Linked DNA regions of Drosophila melanogaster. The protein of the gene in region 1 interacts with the protein of each later gene in a pairwise test. Each region holds a gene or a part of one and is shown in the gene's direction. Other genes may lie near its edges.

Region 1 (5,036 bases):
ATTAATACAGTAATATAATCTATCTAATACAATGAAATTATTCATATAAATTTTTTTTAGGTGGTGCGCGGAGGCGATGGAATGGCTGGTTTCGCCGTCCGCAATCCTGCTGGTGAAGTGGTGAAGCCCTACCAGTGGCAGGCTACTGCGGACTACACGGATCAGGTATCGCCCGGTGGCTACTACTCCGTCTGCATTGACAACCAGTTCTCCCGATTCGCTGGCAAGCTGGTCAACATCTATATCACGGTGGTGAAGTACGATGCATGGGACAAGTACGCCAAGGAGATCGAGCAGCTGCAGCTGAACATGCAAAACTTCACTGTAAGCCAAACTGGTTTTCAGACACACCCAAACATCCATTTACAAATATTCACATTGATCTATTTCTTTAGGCCACCGTTGGCACTGTGGAGCGCAACATCAACGATATGATGGGCTATCAAGCCCACAGTCGTCATCGCGAATCGCGTGATTATGCGTTGCTCCTGGACAACAATGCCTATATTCAAACCTTCTCGATTAGCCAAATTGTGGTCATATTGATCACGTGCTCTGTACAGGCGAGTATAGACATGTTTTTTGCTTTTCCTAAATTAATAACCTAATATTTGCAGGTATTCTTTGTGCGCAAACTATTTGAAGTAAAATCGAGCTCCAAAAGTCGCATCTAAGGCGCAAAGATACTTTTCAAAGACTTCGCAACATGTTTCTAAAATTCCATCCGCATTTCCAAGACATTCATTCTATTCTACCTGCTGAATGAGTTTTTGTAACTTATTTTATCACTGGCTAATTGATCAAGCGCAACTGAGCAGACTTTTTTATAATTGGGACTACTTATGTCATACGAGTTATAGACAGCAAAACTTATTGTGATAAGTGTACATTTGTGTGTTTTGTTTAATTAAAAGATTGAAGATTTTTGTATTTGCTTTGTTTTATTTGGGAAAGAACCTTAAGGATTTATTCGAAGCCATTTGGGTTTGTTAATTTACTAAAAGCTCTACAAGCTTTAAAGTTAAGCTGCTTTGGTAAGCTCACTTAACCGTTAAATTTCATTATCCTGGAAAGGATTTTAAACTTAAAAATATATAATTCAGGTTGTTGTTTTAAGAAACCTGTTTTTCTTTTTATATGGGAGTAAGTTATTTTCAAATTACGACATTGTTGCAAAGACATCTTCTCGTTGCCTAAAACCAATCTTAAATATTAAATACATGCTGTACATGAGCTCATTAGTTTAAATTGAGAGCTGAAGACATTTCGAAGACATTCCACAACTTGGGCTGGCAAATTAATCACCCCGAATGCCGCTTATCGCAAATTATCCTGCCCCATCCATCGCAGGACCTTAAATCATGTCACCAGGCTCACCGCTTATCTAGACGTCATTTAGCACATGTGTGTGTGCTCTGCAGCAGCTGGCATGTTAATTATATCCTTTTTGGCAGGCAGCAGGAGCATCTGGGTATCTTGGCGGGTCTTTTGTGGCCACTGCTGCTCGAAATTAAAATGTTATTATGCGAGGCTTATCTGCGGGCCTTAAAGCCACCGCAAAACTAAGGTCCTAATGGCCTCGCACACCAGCACACGCTCTTTAACTGTTTTAAACGCCATTGTTAAAATATTGCTCATACGCACTTCCGCCCAAAATGGGGTCTTCTCTCTTCGGCAGCACTAATGATGCCCCAAGAACGCGGAGCAAAGGACCCGGCGAAAGGCAGGAGCATCCACAGCCATAGCCACATCCACATCCACATCCCCGATGGCACAGAGTTGGCTCCGCCCACCAGCAGCCGATGACAGCGGCAGATAACAGAGCAGCGGCAAAGTGGGCGGTGGATGGGGTTGTGGTGCGGAGAGCGCGCCTGCGCATTAGCCGCCGCAGAAACGCAGGACGATGGGGTGACACATCCTCGGTGATAGCGCCCAGTTCCCCTGCCACACAGAGCCACCGCTTGTGGGAGGAGTGTGTCGCCATCTTTGAGCGTGGACTGGTGACTGGACGGGATGATCTGGCCGCCACATTAACTTGGAGTGCGCGCTACCAAGTGCAACACGTCGCGGACGACATAATAGCGGTACTTTGCGGTTTAGATTCGTCGGTCACACGTCGTCAATATTCCCGGGACAAGGACCAAACTAGCGAACCTTTCTTGGTCAGCACAAGCGGCAAACGAAGGCACAAAAACCACAAAAAACACAAAGCACACACACGGCACACACTTGTACACTTACACACGGCAAGCAGTGCGGAAAACTTGGACACATACGCCCAGCTTGTTGCTGGCTGTGGGCGTGGCAGCGCACGAAAAAGAAACAGACAAGGACACACACATGTGTCCTGCCAGTGTGTCGCGGAAATTTTTGTGCGGAAATTATAGAAATTTCGCTTTTTGATTTCATTTTCGTTCCGCTTTCGTTGCGAACCTCTCACCCCTCGCCACCCACCACCACCCACCTTTTGTGCACCTGCACCTGTGCGAAAAGACATCGAGAAATGCCCAAGGAGCCCGCTGCCGTCGGTGTCCAGTTGGCTTGGTGGTCGTCGCCGTCATCGTCCTTGCAGTGACAAATTTCCTTGCATATCCGCTCCAGGACTACGAAACTTTGGCTGCAAACAAAACCGTCATTTGCGTGGCGCGTCGCTGTCGCGTTCACTTGTCGCATATCCGTCGCCATTTTGACAATAATTTCATTTCCGGTTGGCAATTTGTACGCACTTGAGTGAGTGATTAACTGCACCGATTCCCAACGATTGTGAAGTGTTTAAGATTACTAAGTTGTAACTTAAGTTGTCCCGACGGAAGTTTAAGAGACAGTCAAAGAGGAGACTTATTTTTGGATAAACTTTATTGCACATACAGGCACAATCCTGAGGTGAGTTATGTTCGAATTATAGAATGATCAACATGATTCAGAACTCCGACGGGGTCCTAAATAACTAATGTATTTTTAAGTGCTTTGTTGAACCAAAGTTGAAGTAAATTAAAGATAATATCGTAACGGTAGAATTTTATTCAAAAATTGAAAACATACTCCTAGGCTTAAATGGGGAAAATCTCCAGCATAAAATGGGGAAAATATTAAATGCATAAAAATATTTGAAATGTACGAATTCAGAATACCAGACATGTTGAAGTCTATTTTAAATCTAAAAATTTATAACCAATGTCAGTAAAGAATAATTACAATAATAAACTTTAATATTTTGATAGAATTTATTTCGAATTTCTAAGATATTTGTAAACTATGATACTTTCTATTCAAACATTCTGATCTGATAAATTAAATCCACTTACATAGAATTTTGAGCGCTTAGATACAGCACCTGTGAACTTAGATGGTTGCTTTTAATTTCTAACTAACGACAGTTATCCAACCCCTAAAAAGCTCACCCCACCATCATCAGATAATTGTGAAGCATATGTTTCTGCTAATCGAATTAGTAGACTTAAAACGGAAGTATTCATAAACCAGAAAAAAAGCACATCAGCAGCATCATTGGGTAAAAGCTTGACAATTAAACAGCAGCACAGTTTCATCAACCAGTCGGCTGTGCAAACATTCAAAAATCCTAATTTCCTAAAATCGCATAAAAATCTTACAAACCATTAAAGAGCAGCCAAACGTGTGGCCTCTTAATTAAAGGATCTCTCGTCCAACAAGGGGATTACACCATTAACAGCTGTCGAAGAGCATAAACTCGGCAATCACAGCGATACCAAGTGGTATTCAAAGGACTCAGCACGCGCTGCAGAACGGGACGAGCATTCAGCCCATCTGCAGACCGACATCCTGGCATCCCGCTCGTATTTCCGGTGTGCGCGCGTTCGCTCAGCGATTGTGATAACTTGGGGAATACAAGGATACCAGAATACAAAAAAAATAAAATGTCTGCCTGCTAATGTTCGCTGGTGAAATTTGCCTACATGCAAACGCAGCCACTCGGCCTGAGTACAAATAATAAATAATAAATGAGGCGTGTGCAGGCCGTTTATAATGTCTGACAAGGCGCAAAGTTGATGATGTTCTGTAGATGCGACCGTTTCGATAACGAAATCTATTTACTCCTCCCGGCAAACTTAAAGCTGCTGGGGTTTCAGTTACAGTTTTCATTTCGGGTATGTTTGGTGTACTTTAAGCCAGAGACAGGACAAGTCGCACTTTGTATGGCATAAATTTCGTTGGCATAAATCAAAATTCAGCAACTTCCGACGAGGGCAGAGTGCAAAAATTTGCATGCCCCCTGTGTGTGCTAACTGCAGACTGGCCGAAAAGGGCCAGTAAACAATGGTTCGCCTTCCCCAGCTTCGACCAGCTGGACATTAGAGAGCCACGCTCAAATGGCCGCCACCCACGCACAGTTCAACGCTCATACGCAACGTTGGCCCAGTGCAAAAAGCGGGACTGTACACACAATAAATAACGAGCCAGATAATTATGCACGTCGTGCTTATATCTAAGGGAACACTAGCTCCACAGCTCCAAAGTAGCCACTATTAATTATGCCAGAACATCGGGGGGGTTTTCGGGTAGCTAGCTTAACGTGTTGGGGCCATGGCAATTAGAGCGATTGTTTGGCCCGAGAGGCATTCTAAAATTGCAGTATTTAATTGTGGACCACGCGCTATGATTTATTAATATCTCGCTCTGCAATTTGCCATGAGGTGAGTGATGGAGTTTACTTGGACTTTAAAGCAATTAAATCTTCTGGTTTGACTACCAATAGAGTACAAGAGTGTATGAATAAATATCTTAAGTTTTAGTAACTTATAAGTACTAAGTATTCATTTATATTCATTTTCGTTTGTAATTTTCGCAGTTTTATAAGTACTATAAAACCAATTTGTTCTATCTATTACTTTCTCCGGCAGAGTCAAGTGGAATCCCTTGTTTAGCCAACAGCCACCCATCGAGGCTCCCCAGGCGTGCGCCATGTACGAGAACTCCTGTTCGTATCAGACGGCGCTGGACCTGAAGAGGGTATCGCCACCGACTCTCGCCCAGGTGAAAACGGAGGAGTGCCTTGC
Region 2 (5,045 bases), on another chromosome or scaffold:
ACCATAAAGTTCATAGAGATCTACAAGGAACACCCGTGCCTTTGGAATCCCGCTCACAGCGACTACAAGGAACCCAAGAAATGCAAAGAAGCCCTGAAGCGTATGGCCATTGACTTGGAGGCAACTGTATCCGTATTCCTGAACGAGATGGCCTTAAAGCTGGCCATCAAGAAAGTCCACATGCAGTTCAACACCGTGCACAAGCGGGTGGTGTCTGGAAAACAGAAACCTCAATCGCTGGCTTTCAGTATATACAAATTGTGTTGCTTCTTGAACGCTAGCAACGATGAAGAAGGGGCTACGAATAACGAAAAAATTAAGGCAAGATATTTGAATTAATTCAAATTGAAATTGTTAACAAGCATACTTTGCCCGCAGCTTGATTTCTCCAAGAAAAACAAGCTGACTACCGACCTGATAGAGATGTACGCAAACTTTCCGCAGCTATACGACTCCAACCACAAGGAGTTCTCCAATATGAGCTCTCGAAAACAGGCATACGAGAGCATGGCTGCGGAAATCTCAGTGCCCAATGTGGACATCAACAGCGATGACATATTCCGCGCCATCCAGAATCTCCGCCAATGGTACTACAAGAACACTAAGCATGCCATTTATGCCGGAAGTACAGCCGAGAAGTTCTACCTAGAGGTGTGTCGGTTCATGCCTGCAAAGATGTACAAGCAGCGGCTGGTCTGCGAATTTTGCCACCAGATTACGTCCTCGGATCATGTCCTGCAGTCGCACATCTTCAAGGCGCACAACATCGGCGAGCTGCCCTTCAAATGCACCTTGTGCGACCGAAGTTTTGTGGGACGTTGCGAGCTGGCTAATCACATACAGCGGGTCCATATCGGCAAGACCCACAAGTGCACCCATTGTGAGCGTTCATTCGCTGTGATGTCGGACCTGCAGCTGCACATCCGTACGCACACTGGCCACAAGCCTTACGTCTGCGAGCATTGCGGCAAGGCCTTCCGACTGCGGTCCCAAATGACGCTCCACGTCACGGCTATTCACACGAAGATCAGAGCCTTCAAGTGCACCATGTGTCCCAAAGACTTTGTGAAAAAGGTCGACTTATCGGATCACATCAAGGGCCATTTAAACATCCGCGACAAAATCTGCAGTGTGTGCGGTAAGGGATTCACCAGCTGCCATGCACTCATCCGACACCGGCAGATTCACTCCGAGGTGAAGAAGTTTGTGTGCAAACTCTGCGACTCCAGGTTCTCCCAGTTTGTGGGTCTTAATACGCACATGAAGCGCACCCACAACATTCTTCGTAATAATTCACAAAAGGGTAAAGATGCTGTGGATGCAGAGAACTGAATTTGATTAAATTTGCAATAAAATGACAGTTTATAAATAGGCAATCTTTTGCAAATGGGGGGAAATAAAAATACACAAATGAGAGTGAAACAATATGTTTAAACAAATTTATTTATATAACGGTTTAAGAATGTATATTAATAATTAAGAATATAAATTCTACATTATCTGGCCATGTCCATCTGTCGAAATCTGGGGATGTACATCTAAAAGCCTAAACACATTCCCCTGCCTACGCTGCGCTATTTTTTCCAAAATGTTGGCACGCCCACAAGGCGCCGACAACTGTAACGCCCATACATTTGAAAAACGTTTTGGTGTTTTCCTGTTCATATTTGTCTCGCTATTTTCTATCGATATGACAAAAAAAATATAATTTCTCAACAAATAAGCTTGATTGATTTTGATTTTTCCAAATGGTTAGTACTAGAATTTTATAACATTTTTTTTCGAAAATTGAAATGTACTAGTTACTTTAAAGATTCATTCATGAAATGCAGATTTTTAATCATTTTTAAGCACCACCAACAGTTGTTAAAACGTTTTCTTTTAAGCCTTCATAAAATTGTGTTTAAATATTATTTTAAAAATAGATTTTTATCGAATAGTCTATCGATACATAATTATTTCAGTCGTTGTCCAACACAGTCCCAAACGCATAAAAAAATTGTTACCTTAAATAAACGAATATATTTTCAGAAAAGGAACATTTTTCAAGCTGAAGTCAGATCAGAGCGCACAACGTAAGCATGGAGCTGTGCGGCAATGTGATGACCAACTCCAAGTACGAGATGTTCCGGCTGAAATGCCTCTACTGCAGCATAGAGAGCGAGCTGAAGGATTGGGAGCTGTTCATCGTCCATGTGAAATCGGCGCACTACTGCGAAGACGAGGACGTTAGGATTAATGAAATCAAAGAGGATACCGAGGAGCTATACAGCGTCGTTGACGCGGCGGACCCAGCCATCGCCTATGGGCCGGATGAGTTCTTCGAGGTGATCGAAAACAGCAATGGGGTCGATCAATGGATGGAAGCTGATAGCAAGGTAAGACTCTTTCACTCGCTTACCAAGGGTGGTCAAATAAGTGAGCTCTCGTTGACCGCAGGATATCCAGTACGAGGAAGACGCCACCGCTTGGTCTGCAGCTACAAACAATTCCTGGGAGTTCGGTCCAGGCGGCAGCTCTTTGGAACTTCCAGCCGGAAAGGAAGTCACACAAATGGACGAGTCTTCCCAAAATCACATACCCCTAAACACAGACGATGATGATGTTGATTGTAGTGACTTCTTTATGTCTGAGGATGACTTGGCACCTCCTAGAAAACCTGGACGTCCGCCCAGGCGAACAAGACCAGGACAGGTTTTCAAGGTTAGTACGTAGTATATTTCACTTAAGCTGAAATTCATTCCACTTAACGGCGTCATTCAGTTCAAAGTTTCGTTTATTCGGAGCAATCCCCGTGTGCTGCATTTGATCCAAGCGTACAAAGAGCATCCCTGCCTGTGGAACCCTTCCGATGAACACTACCAGGACGAGCCTGCACGAAGCATGGCCTACGAGGCGATAATGGAACGCATGGACCGCAAGGCCAATGTTCTCTTCACCGTGGAAGAACTGAAGAAAACGCTCGAGCAACTGCACGTGCAGTACACGCTGGCTTTGGAGACAAAACAAAGGGGAAAGCTTGTTGGACTTGCAGCGCGTTACTTTGCCAAGTGCGAGTTCCTCAGTGTGGCGCCTGTTGTAACGCCAAGGGAGAACGAGGAGGACAACGACTTGACTGCAATTAAGGTAATAACTAGCCCACTATAATGTAGCTCTTTTCTGACCAAAAATCCTTTTTTCAGCTTAATTTTAAGGAGGAAAACCTGATAACCACCTCATTCATAGAGACCTATGCCAACTATCCCGTGCTGTATAATCAAGCGTTGCCAGACTTTGGCTCAATAGAGATACGTGCAGATGCCTTCAAAAGAATGGCAAAGGAATTCCAGCCAGTGGTGAAGGCCAACGAAACGGACGTTTACATTGCGGTCAACAAGCTGCGCCGTTGGCTTTACGATGCCATTCGTCGCCTCAAATCCAAGGAACTAATTCAGAAGTGCAGCAAGCAAGAGGTTCAGTATCTGCAAATGTGCAGCTTCTTGCCCGCCAAGGGTTCCGAAAGTCAGGTGCTGTACTGTGACTACTGCGATAAACGTTTCCACGGCGACTACAACCTACGGGTGCACATCGTCAAGGCGCACGAGGTGGGCGACCTACCGTACCTCTGCTCGTTCTGCCCGAGGCGCTTCGACCGCCACGTAGACATGGACCGTCACAAGCTGCGTTCCCACTTCGAACGCAAGTTGAAGTGCCAGTACTGCGAAAAATCGTTCGCCGTGGATACCGACCTAAAGGTGCACACACTAATCCACACGGGCGAGCGGCCTCACGTCTGTGACATCTGCGGCAAGACATTCCGGCTCAAGCTACTCCTGGACCACCACGTCAACGGAGTTCACCTGAACATTAGACCCTACAGCTGCAATATGTGCACCAAAACCTTCCGCAAGAAGTTCGAGCTGGCCAACCATATCAAAGGACATCTGAATATCCGTGATAAGAAGTGCGAGTACTGTGATGCTACGTTCTATGACCATTCTTCGCTTTCCAGACATCGCCGCAGCCACAGATCGGAATGAACTCTCGCCTTGAGGGACATTTTTAGAAACTGCTTTATTTTTTGATAACGAGAATCAGTAAGCTTCATTTGATGTAAATCAAGAATAAACTTACGTTAGAGTAGTGATAATAACAAGCGTGTTGTTAAGCACTTACGGCTTTTGTGTATTTGATAAGAACATGTGTATGATAATCATATGCACAAGCTTTTCCTTTTTCATACTTTCCTTTTCAAAATTTGGTTTAAGGAATGTATTATTCATAAAAAAAAGAAGAAGCCGGAAAAATAAGTTCGTTTTAAGATAAATTTGTATAACCGTTACTTGTAGAGGAGATATTAGAATAACATATGATTTTTTGGTTCTGGCTCTAGATCTAGAGCTGGCTTGAGGCTCTCCCGAGTTTTTGTTCAAAAGTCAGAGAGCGGAGAGCTCTAGAGCTAGCAGCTCTATTATTATTATTTTTGATCAAATGACGTGTACAAAATTTTATATATATTCATTTTTAACAATGTATTTATATTTCTTTTATGAAATATATTTTTTTAAATGTATTTTCCTTTTTGCCAAATTTATATTTTTAATTACAATAGTTATAATAACGATTTAAGACTTTATTTAGTTTATTAGCTTAAATAATGATGAAAATAATTTTTATACGGTACAAGATACTGCTCATAGACCCTTGTTGAAGTATGTCGTCAGTGCAATTTTAAATATTTTTAATTATAAGCAAAAATAAATAAGCGGTATTTAATTAATAACAACTCTTCTTAAAAGAATAGTCAAGGCATTAAATTTTAAATAACTCTGTAGTAGATCGTATTGCAACAAGCTTTGACCAAAACTTTAAATATGTATGTATGTACCTTCGTTTCTGAGATCAAAATTGATTTCGAGACGAAAGTTTTCTAGCACAAGTATGCTCATATACACTTTCTCGTTTGTTGTTTTAACACACACAAGGAAGTACATTCTATTTTAAGAAATTTACGCTCTCCATTTTACGCGTGCGGAGTGAGATCAATTTTGGCCGTCACCAAAAAA

What was found.
Region 2: the proteins of Ets65A (region 1) and CG1603 interact in a two-hybrid assay, tested with the Drosophila melanogaster proteins (one large-scale study listed by BioGRID).

The regions. Positions count from the first base shown.
Region 1 is NT_037436.4:6,095,589-6,100,624, forward strand, and holds the start of Ets65A (Ets at 65A), read left to right. Parts: upstream 1-2,028; 5' UTR 2,029-2,883; intron 2,884-4,880; 5' UTR 4,881-4,941; coding exon 4,942-5,036. Other genes in the region: loj (logjam), read left to right, coding at 61-324, 396-563, 618-674.
Region 2 is NT_033778.4:7,513,301-7,518,345, reverse strand, and holds CG1603 (uncharacterized protein), read left to right. Parts: upstream 1-1,955; 5' UTR 1,956-2,081; coding exon 2,082-2,378; intron 2,379-2,439; coding exon 2,440-2,703; intron 2,704-2,763; coding exon 2,764-3,126; intron 3,127-3,182; coding exon 3,183-4,019; 3' UTR 4,020-4,500; downstream 4,501-5,045. Other genes in the region: CG1602 (uncharacterized protein), read left to right, coding at 1-321, 379-1,332. UniProt on the Drosophila melanogaster protein: Chromatin-binding protein involved in the organization of active promoters and insulators. Essential for the activity of heterochromatin promoters; primarily binds to specific motifs within promoters of housekeeping genes.